Linked DNA regions of Drosophila melanogaster. The protein of the gene in region 1 interacts with the protein of each later gene in a biochemical or structural test. Each region holds a gene or a part of one and is shown in the gene's direction. Other genes may lie near its edges. The genes, in order: Wnk and fray.

Region 1 (5,069 bases):
GTTCCCTACAAAACTGCTGGCCTAGACAACTCAGTCTCCTCCAGTTACAATGAGCCCATACAAGTGTCCGACTTGTTCTACCAGCAAGATCCCGCTCCTGCGAATTCCGCAGTGGTTCGCGGCAGTTACCAGGCAGGTCAGGATGTCTTCGTTGTCAAGTCCGACGGCAACAAAGCCGTTAAGCATGTGGTCTCTACTCCCATGGCGGTCCAGACCACCACTCAATCGCCGTCGAAGAGCCAGCACCTCGCCAAGACCCACAAGAGCTTTACCCCGGAGCCTCTGCGATTCGAGTTCACCGAGCAAGATGCCATAAGGGGATCGATGAAGTACACCCAAGCCCCGCAAGCCAATCAGTACTACTACGAAACCGTGGCCCAAGCTCCCCGCGAGCCCGCGAAATCTCCTGCCCCGAAGATTGAACTCAGCAAGCCCATTAAGGAATACACCGATGACCCAGAGGATAGTTCCGACACTGAAAGTGGAAAGCAGGTTGGTTCTGTTTCTCAATAAATGTGAAAACCGCAAGTAGCTTATATAAGCTAGCATATTTGTTGGCCAAAAAGTGGCCACAAAAACAAGCACTTCCAACCTTTAAGGCATTTTATAATGATTTTTACGCGATTTAGTGAGTACTTAATTTCGATCAAATCGTTTACGGGTTTAAAATAGTACTCTTCTTTGAAAAAATAAACTTAAAAAAATAGTTGATTCTATCAACTCAAGCTACAAAAATTATACGACTCATCAAATACCAGTAACAGTTTTTCCTAATAAGATCAAATTCTTTTTGCTGTGAATTTAGCTCTTACATTTTTAATTTTAAATTTGCCCATTTCAGCAAGATATTCCAAAGGTGCCCACTGTGACGAGTTCAGCTACTCCTGACGATCCAAAGGACACGGAAAACTACTGCGAGAAGATATGTGCTAATGTGTACGATGAAAACGATGAAATAATCTGTGGATCCGACGGATACATGTACACGGGCGAAACCCAACTGCAGTGCTATTCGTCATGCCTCAATATAAGTAAGAGTTTCATACCCAATATATGTATTGTCTGTATATATTTTAAACCAACATGTTCTATTCCAGGTGTGACGATTAAGAGTAAAGGATCTTGCTCTTAAACTAAAATAAAATAAAAAACTGTTTTAATTTAATTTATTCTAGCGATTACAAAATATGCAAATTTAGTGGAAATGGTAAAATGTAGGGTTTTGTAAAAAGTGATTTTGATTTGTTGTTCACGTATAAAAATATCGTGCACTTATAGCTTTCCTATTCATTAAAGTGATAACTTATAAACTATTAGTGCATGTATATTTAAGTTCTACAATATATTTGTATGTATCTCAAAAATCATTCAGAGAAGTTAGTTATAATAAATAAATTAACGAATTGCAAGAAAACATTATCGAAAATCATATTTATATATATAAAATAAGAGACTATCTGGGCTTTTTGCCTTAGGGGCAAAACAAAAGAGACAGGAGCATCTTCTTGCTGAATAAGGGAAACCTGTATAAGGGTTTGGAATTTATTAAGACTTTGTTAGGTGTGGTTTTTACAGCTGTAATCTGTTTGTAATCTGTTTCATTATGGCAGGCAAAATGAAATTTAAAAAAGTGGCTTAATGCTTAAAGGTTATACAGTATTCTTAACAATGTTATAACTCGTTCGAAGAGTAACGGTCTACTGTTCAAGTTAACAGAGGCCAGGTAACATCTCTGCTAATGCGTAACATATATATTAGGCAAGCTGGTAGCTTGGGTGGCATCACCGCCGATAACACTTGTGTAACAATATGCGCTATCGATAGATCACGAACACAAGTAAACCCAGTTGCTTTGTAAAATTTTTTGTGAAAGTAAAGGGAACTTCTGGCGAAATAACTTCAATTTTCCGCTGACTCTCGCACGCGTTCAATCCAATTGACCCCCCTTGTGGAGGTGACACTATCTCCCGAAAGACTTACCAATCCCCCGTGCCGTAATATGAAAGCTTGCTAGCTCGAATTGCCTTTGAACACCACAATCACAAATTGAAATCCTCGATGCGAACGATCCGACAGTCGCAGTGCGAGCCCTAGACCCCGTCCCGGTCGTAAATCCCCAACTCGAGCACGATCCCGTCGAGCGAAGGACTTCCGGAAGGAGCGGCGTGGAAACATGACATCATAGTCGCTGCATATGCTTCCTGTCCCGAATCAAATGTACATAAATATGTATGTATAGCCAGCGTACCGCACATACGCACATATCCCTCGCGACAGAACAGAACAGAGTAGAGTGGAACGGCAGAGCCAGTGACGAACGTAGTGCAATCGAAACTAGTGATTCATGGAAAGCGCACACCTCGGCCTCCTGGAGACGGCGCCACTACCTCCTCCACCCAGCTGTAAGCGATATTTCAGACGTCGGCACCAAGCAACGAACATAAGTGGGTGTGGGAATGGTCACCTTTCCCTGCTCCTGCCCCTGCCCATGTCTCTGCCCCAGTCCAAGCCAGTTCCTCCTGTCAATAGTGCCGGAATTTAACCTTTGCTCCATTCCTCCATGCCTTCATGTACTCATTCACCGCCTTGCCTCTCGCTTCAGATTAAACGTGGTGGTCTGCTGCTAAAAATCTTGCAAAATTGGACAAACCCTCTGCGACTTCGTACGACAACAAGAGGTCGTACCTGCGAACCGTGCTCGGAAGGGAAGCGCCATCAGCGAAGATGGTACTACCTCCTGCACCACGCAACCTCAAAGGTGAGTTGGAGTCATTGCCAAAACATTTAGGGAATATCTCTATTTATTTAAATATTGTTTTTATTTAAATCAGGGCACATAACAAAAAATGATTGAAGTAACAATCGTTGTTTCATATATGCCTAAATAACGTAAAAGCTGGTTTAAAATATCCTTGTATGTAGTGTGTTAAACTGACCAAGTATCCTACAAAGGATTTGTTTCCCTAGGATACTAATTTTTAAATATGCTTCAACTGGAATTGTTACTTCAACGTCTCTGTTTTAAGCAAAACTTACTAGATAAACAACACGTAAACTGAAACCGTTTTTTCGTTTATCGAATGTTTATAAAATGTTCTTGGAAGGAAGTTTACTGAGAACTGTGGAAAACTCGACTGTTGTACCTGTGAGTCTATAGAATCTAATCAACTACTTCTATCATTCTTTTAGGAATACCTCAATTTCTAGCGAGGAGCAAACTGTGCAGGGAGCTAATATACAAAAGTCGGGACACCGTTCGTTTAATAGATCTGCCTCCTCTAGGCAAAAGCCGAACCCGACATCAAAACTAAAAGACACACTAAACAGAAAGCCCACTTGCAAGCAGGGCACACTTTCTGCACACACGAGCACTAGCAGCACCACTTCAATCCAGTCATCACCTATCGAGCCAGCTTCTTCTCTACCCACGCTGAACACCACGCCTACACCACCAGCTGCCAGCAAAAGTAACCTATTTGTGCGGGTGCTAAGACGCTTTTCAAATAACACCCTTCCCGGCAAAACGGCGTCAAGCCCGAAAAACGTGGACGACGTACCGAAAGTCAACGATAACAACAACGGCGATTTAGGCAAACAGCAATCAACCGATGTAGAGGTGCTTTGCTCTCAGGACAACCAGAGCAGGGAACAGAATGAGGACGAAATGGATAGCAAAATAGAACCTGCAGATGCCATAAGCAACCAGAAAGCTGGTCTTACTTCGGGCAAACCTAAAAAAGACAAGTCAGTCAAGGGGACGTCGCAAGCGGTTGTTTCAGACACCAAGAAAATGGAGGCCAGAAAGTCCTCCTCGGACACGGTGATCGAGCCATTGATCAAGCAGCAGGCGCCACTGCACTCGTCAAAGACCACGCCAACGACTTTGACGGCGAACTTCGTGCAAAACATTCGATTCGTCCGTAAAAATGTGGAACAGTCAGGCAGGAACACCAATCCACTGCAGTTCGTTGAACTCGAGACAGAGTTTCCTCGTGACTATGACGACAACATCGAGATGCTTTCCCGCGAGGCGGAGCATCTGGAGGAGCAGTTCCGCACGCCTACGCGCTCCAATGCTACGGATGCCACTTCCCACCATGTGGCCGGAATCATCGACAACATTATAACCGAAGCGTCACGGAGTCTTACAATCGAAAAGACTGAAGACGATGTGCCATTGAAGTCTTCTACCAAGCACTCAAGCGGCGTAAAACGAGTTGGCTTTCAAGTAGAGGATAAGGACGATACCGAAGTTCAGAGCGAAAAGCAGGCAAAGAGCTTCGACGACATAACCAAAAAAGCGGAGAGCTCCGAGGCTAGCGCAGAGGAAGCTGCTGTCACCGGGTCCTCGACAGATGCATCTGCATCTCCCCTGCCCTCCACGTCGCTGGTCTCCACCACATCTTCAGCTACATCGATAACCAAGAGTAAGAGCGATGAGGACGATGATCCGGTGGCCATGTCGCCGTGCGGACGATTCTTTAAGTACGATAAGGAAGTCGGACGCGGTTCCTTTAAAACTGTCTATCGTGGCCTGGACACGTTGACTGGTGTTCCAGTTGCCTGGTGCGAGTTATTGGTAAGATAAAAAACTTCTTAAGTTTATTGTTGTGCCATTGGGCATATGTATAAGTATTATTATTATTAGTCAAAGCAAACATGATCACAAGCTTGCATAAGCAAGTTATCAGATAGATAATAATTATCATGAATTTTTGATTGAGTAATCTTTTTTATATAATGGATCATCACAATTAAAGTAATCATTAGGTAACATGAAAATGTACAATTTTATTTACCTATTTTACAGGACAAGCAAGTAAAAAAAAGTGAACGTACTAGATTTCGCGAGGAGGCAGACATGCTGAAGAAACTTCAGCACCCAAACATAGTGCGGTTTTATACATATTGGGAGTTTCCTATTGGCCGCAAGAAGAATATTGTACTAGTCACCGAACTAATGTTATCTGGAACTTTGAAATCGTAAGCGTAAACATGGATTTTAATGGGCGAATTGTAAACATAAACTCTTATTTCCTTATAGCTATTTGAAACGATTCAAAAAAATA
Region 2 (5,072 bases), on another chromosome or scaffold:
TTGAATAATAATGCGCGACAATTATGTTTGTCATATGACTTCCGAATACATTAACTTCCTGCATTTGCGCAGCTTTTTGAACTCAATGAACTGAAATACCCTCGAGCTCGACAAAATGTTTTGCGTACAAGAATATTGATTTATTTACTGCTGTTTTTTTATTTTTAATTTCTTGCGAAAAAATGACTTGCGAGTGCAAAAGTCCCAAACGTCCTTGCCTTGAGAAATCGACCGACTGAGCAGAAATCACATGAGATGTTGACCAGCAAATTGAACCGAGCATGTGAGCATTGATTTCGCTGATGGGCGATGGCACATGGCACATATTTTGAATTTTTTTTAAGAAATATACTATGCGCATTTGTTTATACAAATGTATAGAGTTTCACGAACAACGCGTCGATCTGCAATATACTTTTAAAAATATATCTTTCATGGGATTTTATAGTATTAGACTTTTTAAAGCAAGTTTGTTCATTAAATGTATCTCGATTGCTTAGAAAACATTTTACTAGTACAAGACTATAAAGAAAATATGCATTTTAATAATATTTTTCTATAGCTGGTTGTATACAAATATACAAAAGTATATCCACTGTAGTTTTTAGTATACTAAATAGGTTCGTTTCGGTTCATTCATCATAGCTGGCCCCCAGCTCGTGGTCATTAATGAGTTTTCCTCATTTTGATGTCACCGACGTCACGCAAGTGAAAAATTTCACAGAGTTTATGACCAACGCCTAGTATTAGTATTGTGAGTAGTATATCTACATATGTATGTAGAAAGCGAAATATTTGGGGCTCAGGAATATGGGGTTCAACCTTTGGCCCACCCACACACGTGTCGAATGGCATTGGGCGCTAATTAAATCGCTGGTTTTTTCGGCTTCTTTTTTTTTTGCGCTCTTCGAGTGTCAAAACTTTTTGAGGGCGTTCGATCACTTGACTCGAATCGCCGGTGCGCATAAAAAGTAACCCAGCGTACAATTATAGATATATTTACGATTTTGCACAGCCTGACAGATTTCACACATTTCGATACACAAGCTCTGTTGGCTTGGATACAACAAATTCCCTTGTTAAAAATAAGATTAAAGCAAAAAGTAGGAAAATAAGGCAGCACACTTTGACTATAAACAAGAATTTAAAAATACACATCCCATAAGCCGTATGCAAATTGCTAAAATAATAATAACATCAAACTTGCGCATGTCTTTGTCGATGAAGAAGAATTACCTGGGTACAGTGCTGCTAAAAACCAGGGTAAACATGGTTGAAAGACGTCTATAAGAAAAGAGAGGTCTTACCAAAGACAGTCCTCTTGAGGATAGAAAGAGATACGTTGTATCTCCAAGATATGAAGAATCTACATTTATAGATCTATGAATATCCTAGTACTTACTTGTAAAAAGCAACTTTTACTCACAATTCGCGACACAAGGACTTCCTGTTAATTATAAAAGTTGGTGATATGTTGTTTTTCTATTTCGTATCAAACGAAATTTGTAGAACCCGCTAGAACGGAACTAGGAACAATTGCCTATGCAAATTCCCGAAAATCCCCTGCCGAAGGTATTTAAATTTTAAGTGGAAGCCAAGGCAATCACTCATGCATGTTAGTTATCAGCTGGGCTTTGGCCATAAAGCCCGGCAAATCCGAGCTTACGTCAACCGACATACGTAGATACATAGATACACCTGGTGTTACAGATACAGATAGAGATACAAAGACACCGATGGGGATACAGAGGCGGATACTAACTACTACTAACTAACGCCAACGCGCGTTGATGGAGGCGGCAAAATTTCGCACATTTCGTACGTTTATTTCGTCGATCGGCAACGGCGTTTTTACTATAGTATATAGTATCGCCTGTCGTCGTGTTCCGCCATTTGTAGAGCTCATTTAATTTTATTGTTGTTTATTGCTAAACGAAACGAAAGCAATGGATGGAAAGGGGAGGGGGTGGAAAAAACAGTTCATTTTAAATGTTTGATTACAACGATTTGTGAAGTTCAGTCGAATTTGTGATTTTCGCGCTGGAGGAGCGGCCCATTCAGCGATCGCGAGCAATGCGATTTGGCGAACTGCAATCGGATCGAATCCCAATCGCAGTTCCGTTGATAACTCAACTCAGTCATTCTCGAGTGTCGCGTGTGATCGAATCTACATCTGTGGCTAAAGATCTTGGCTTAAAAGCAATTTACAGCCAGAACTAAAATCATTTCAGAACTTGAGAAAAAAAAATAGTGACAACCAGACAAAATGCAGTTGCTGAATTTAGTGTGCCTCAAGCAAAGTGGGTTGAAATTTTTGAAAAATCCAACTATATAAATCACGATTACGACACTCAACTTTTCAGCAAATCACAAGCACAAACTAATTTGAAATTCATGTTATCGCCGAAAGTTATTTTCCACATTTGTCATTTATAATCCAAAAATACTGTATGTGCGTGTATTCACGTATCCTTATGCAAATAGCTAAATAAATGATACCTATTTGATAGATAGGAGTGTGAATTTTAAATGCGAATTTGGCAAACCAACTTAAATTGCCAAAACTGAATTCGGTCAGGGGAATCCCCGTTATACTGCTTGTGATTTATATCCAGTCGGGTTCGGGATAATTAAATAATTATTAAAAAATAATTGCCACAAAAAGCTTATAAACATGTCACAACGAAATTTATAATTTACTCAGCAAAAACGACTTTATTAGGATTTATTTGGCTTCCAAAGCAAAAACACTTACTGAGCAAAGAGAGTTGAGGATTCACAAAATACATAGATCAGGGGATTTTCCAAATTTTGTCAGTATATGCAGTATTATAGTATATCCTGTGAAAAGTTCTTAAATTTGTTGATCATTTGGAACCAACAGCGAGAACCAAAACACGAAAAGATCGAAATGAGTATGCGCTATATGAATTCATCAATGCCAGTACAAATACTATATTCCCAAATCAGAACAGCAACTAAATGCAAAAACCAGGAATCAATTACTCTTCTTCCACATGACGTGCTGAAAAGTCGCTGGCATCGGCCAAATTAAAAATCTAATCTAAACAAACAGTCACTTTGGGCACTTGGCACGGCTCAGTACTCATAGCCGCGCACTCATCTACTCAACTAACGGATACATACATAGTATAGATATAGTATCTAGTCATTTGTATTTCATTCTTGCGCGCGATTGCAGTGCGAACTGTGTCAACAATTAATGCGAAGCGATATTGCAACTGCAATTCAAAGTTCAAGCAACTCGTTAATGTGTCAATATTGAAATTACAAATGTCGTTAAATTCATTTCCATCGAGACGTTTTATAAATACACTCACGTGTATTTTTGTAATTTATCTGATTCTTCTATATTAAGGCTGTCGCATATTTGCAAAACGCAACAGAGTGCAATAAACGGAAAATGTGTTAAGCGAATGAGATATTTATGCGTATTCATTTACCTGAGCTAATGAGAGGATCCATTAGCTGGATTGTGAGGTGATTAGGTAACTGAATCACGCTGATTCTTAAATTGCCAACTTTAGTACACCTAAATTATAATTATATGTGTGGAAAATTTCGTTAATTGTTTTGAATGAAACAATTTATAGTTAATTACTACCATTAACAGAAGTAACACAAGCTATACGAAAACTCAATTGAAAATCGCAGTATTACATTAAATTTATTTAAAAAATAAAAGAGTTACCAAATACTTTACCAATGCTCAGAGCCACTCTAAGTATTACCAAACAACTTTGAATGTGGTAACCAAACCTTTTGCAAATTCTTGAACACAATTTTGTTTAAGATTAGAATAGAGTATATTTCGAATCTTTCTCTTGAGCTGCTTTCCATTTTCCGATCCATTTGGATTCATACGCACCCAAAAACCTGCCTCTTTCCGCACGGCGAGACACTTTGCCATGGCCGAACTGCATTGGAAATTATATGCAAATAGCCAACGAGACGGAGACGTTCTAAAAATAAATAGACCACGCAAAAATCAGTATCAGTATTGTGTGTGTGCGCGCGCGAATATCTTATTTTTATAAGTCTTCAGTCTTCGTTCTTCGACCATGGCGCATTTTTATGCAGAGCAGAACAGAATTTAGCGCTATGGCCAAATGCAAACTGACGATCCCATAATCAACCTATAGATACATTTGTATCTATCTAGATGTCCGCCTGGGTTTTATGGATGGGCTGTTGTGGATGCAATTTATGAATTTTCCATGATGACTGTGCGGGCTTCCCCCCACAAATTAACCCCCTTTCCAGTATGTTAACCCAGTTATCTTGCCCAGCAAGATAACGGAATGGAAAAAGAGTAAAAGCGAGAGAGAGTGAGATACTGGATTCCACTTTTGTATCTGGGTGCGGTATGGAAAGCACATACATATGTCTGCTGTATCTATGCTCCACTTTTTGGGACTCTGGGTCTTTATTGTTGCTAATTGTTCTCGCTTGTTGTTATTATTGCCGCTGGAAACTTTTTAACTTATCGTGCGCGTCAGAGCTGATAAAATCCGAGTACACGAGGCGCAGGGAAAATTGGTGGGGGCAAACAAAAGAAAAACCTTACAAATTGTGCAATTGCCAGTGGGTCAGCATCGCCTAAACATCGTGCAAATAACATGGAATGTAGAAAAAAGTAGTTTCTATATTTTTGAACTATTATTCCAATTTATTTTTACCAGAAACAAAATTGAGGTTCATATTTAGCATTTTGAAATTACAGTTTTTATTCAATTTTTTTTTTTATCGAAACAATTTTTTATCGCTAATAACAGATAGTTTTCATCTATGACGCCCACTGTGCGGCTCTTAACCCGCTCTCACTGGCGCTCTCTACCTCTCTGCTTCCTCATTCTCAACCAGCACCCCCGCCCCACCGCCCTTCTTTTCTGTTGTTGATATTTACTCAATAAATTTATTTTTGTATATTTCTAGTTTCAGCTTTCCACACTAGCATAATACCCTTCAGTCGTTTGGCTTATGCATATTTCAAAGTACTAACCCCCATATTCGTGGAGATCTTGATTTAAGAATCTATATAAGACATTTAA

What was found.
Region 2: of the proteins of Wnk (region 1) and fray, one has a biochemical effect on the other in vitro, tested with the Drosophila melanogaster proteins (2 studies listed by BioGRID).

What each region holds. Positions count from the first base shown.
Region 1 is NT_037436.4:21,551,714-21,556,782, reverse strand, and holds the start of Wnk (Wnk kinase), read left to right. Parts: upstream 1-1,854; 5' UTR 1,855-2,229; exon of another isoform or gene 2,230-2,402; intron 2,403-2,602; 5' UTR 2,603-2,639; coding exon of another isoform or gene 2,640-2,758; intron 2,759-3,189; coding exon of another isoform or gene 3,190-3,664; coding exon 3,665-4,579; intron 4,580-4,810; coding exon 4,811-4,983; intron 4,984-5,044; coding exon 5,045-5,069. Other genes in the region: CG7173 (uncharacterized protein), read left to right, coding at 1-492, 842-1,031, 1,098-1,132. UniProt on the Drosophila melanogaster protein: Serine/threonine-protein kinase component of the WNK-SPAK/OSR1 kinase cascade, which plays an important role in the regulation of electrolyte homeostasis and regulatory volume increase in response to hyperosmotic stress.
Region 2 is NT_033777.3:18,579,205-18,584,276, forward strand, and holds the start of fray (frayed), read left to right. Parts: upstream 1-2,011; 5' UTR 2,012-2,266; coding exon 2,267-2,300; intron 2,301-3,074; exon of another isoform or gene 3,075-3,150; intron 3,151-3,379; exon of another isoform or gene 3,380-3,501; intron 3,502-5,072.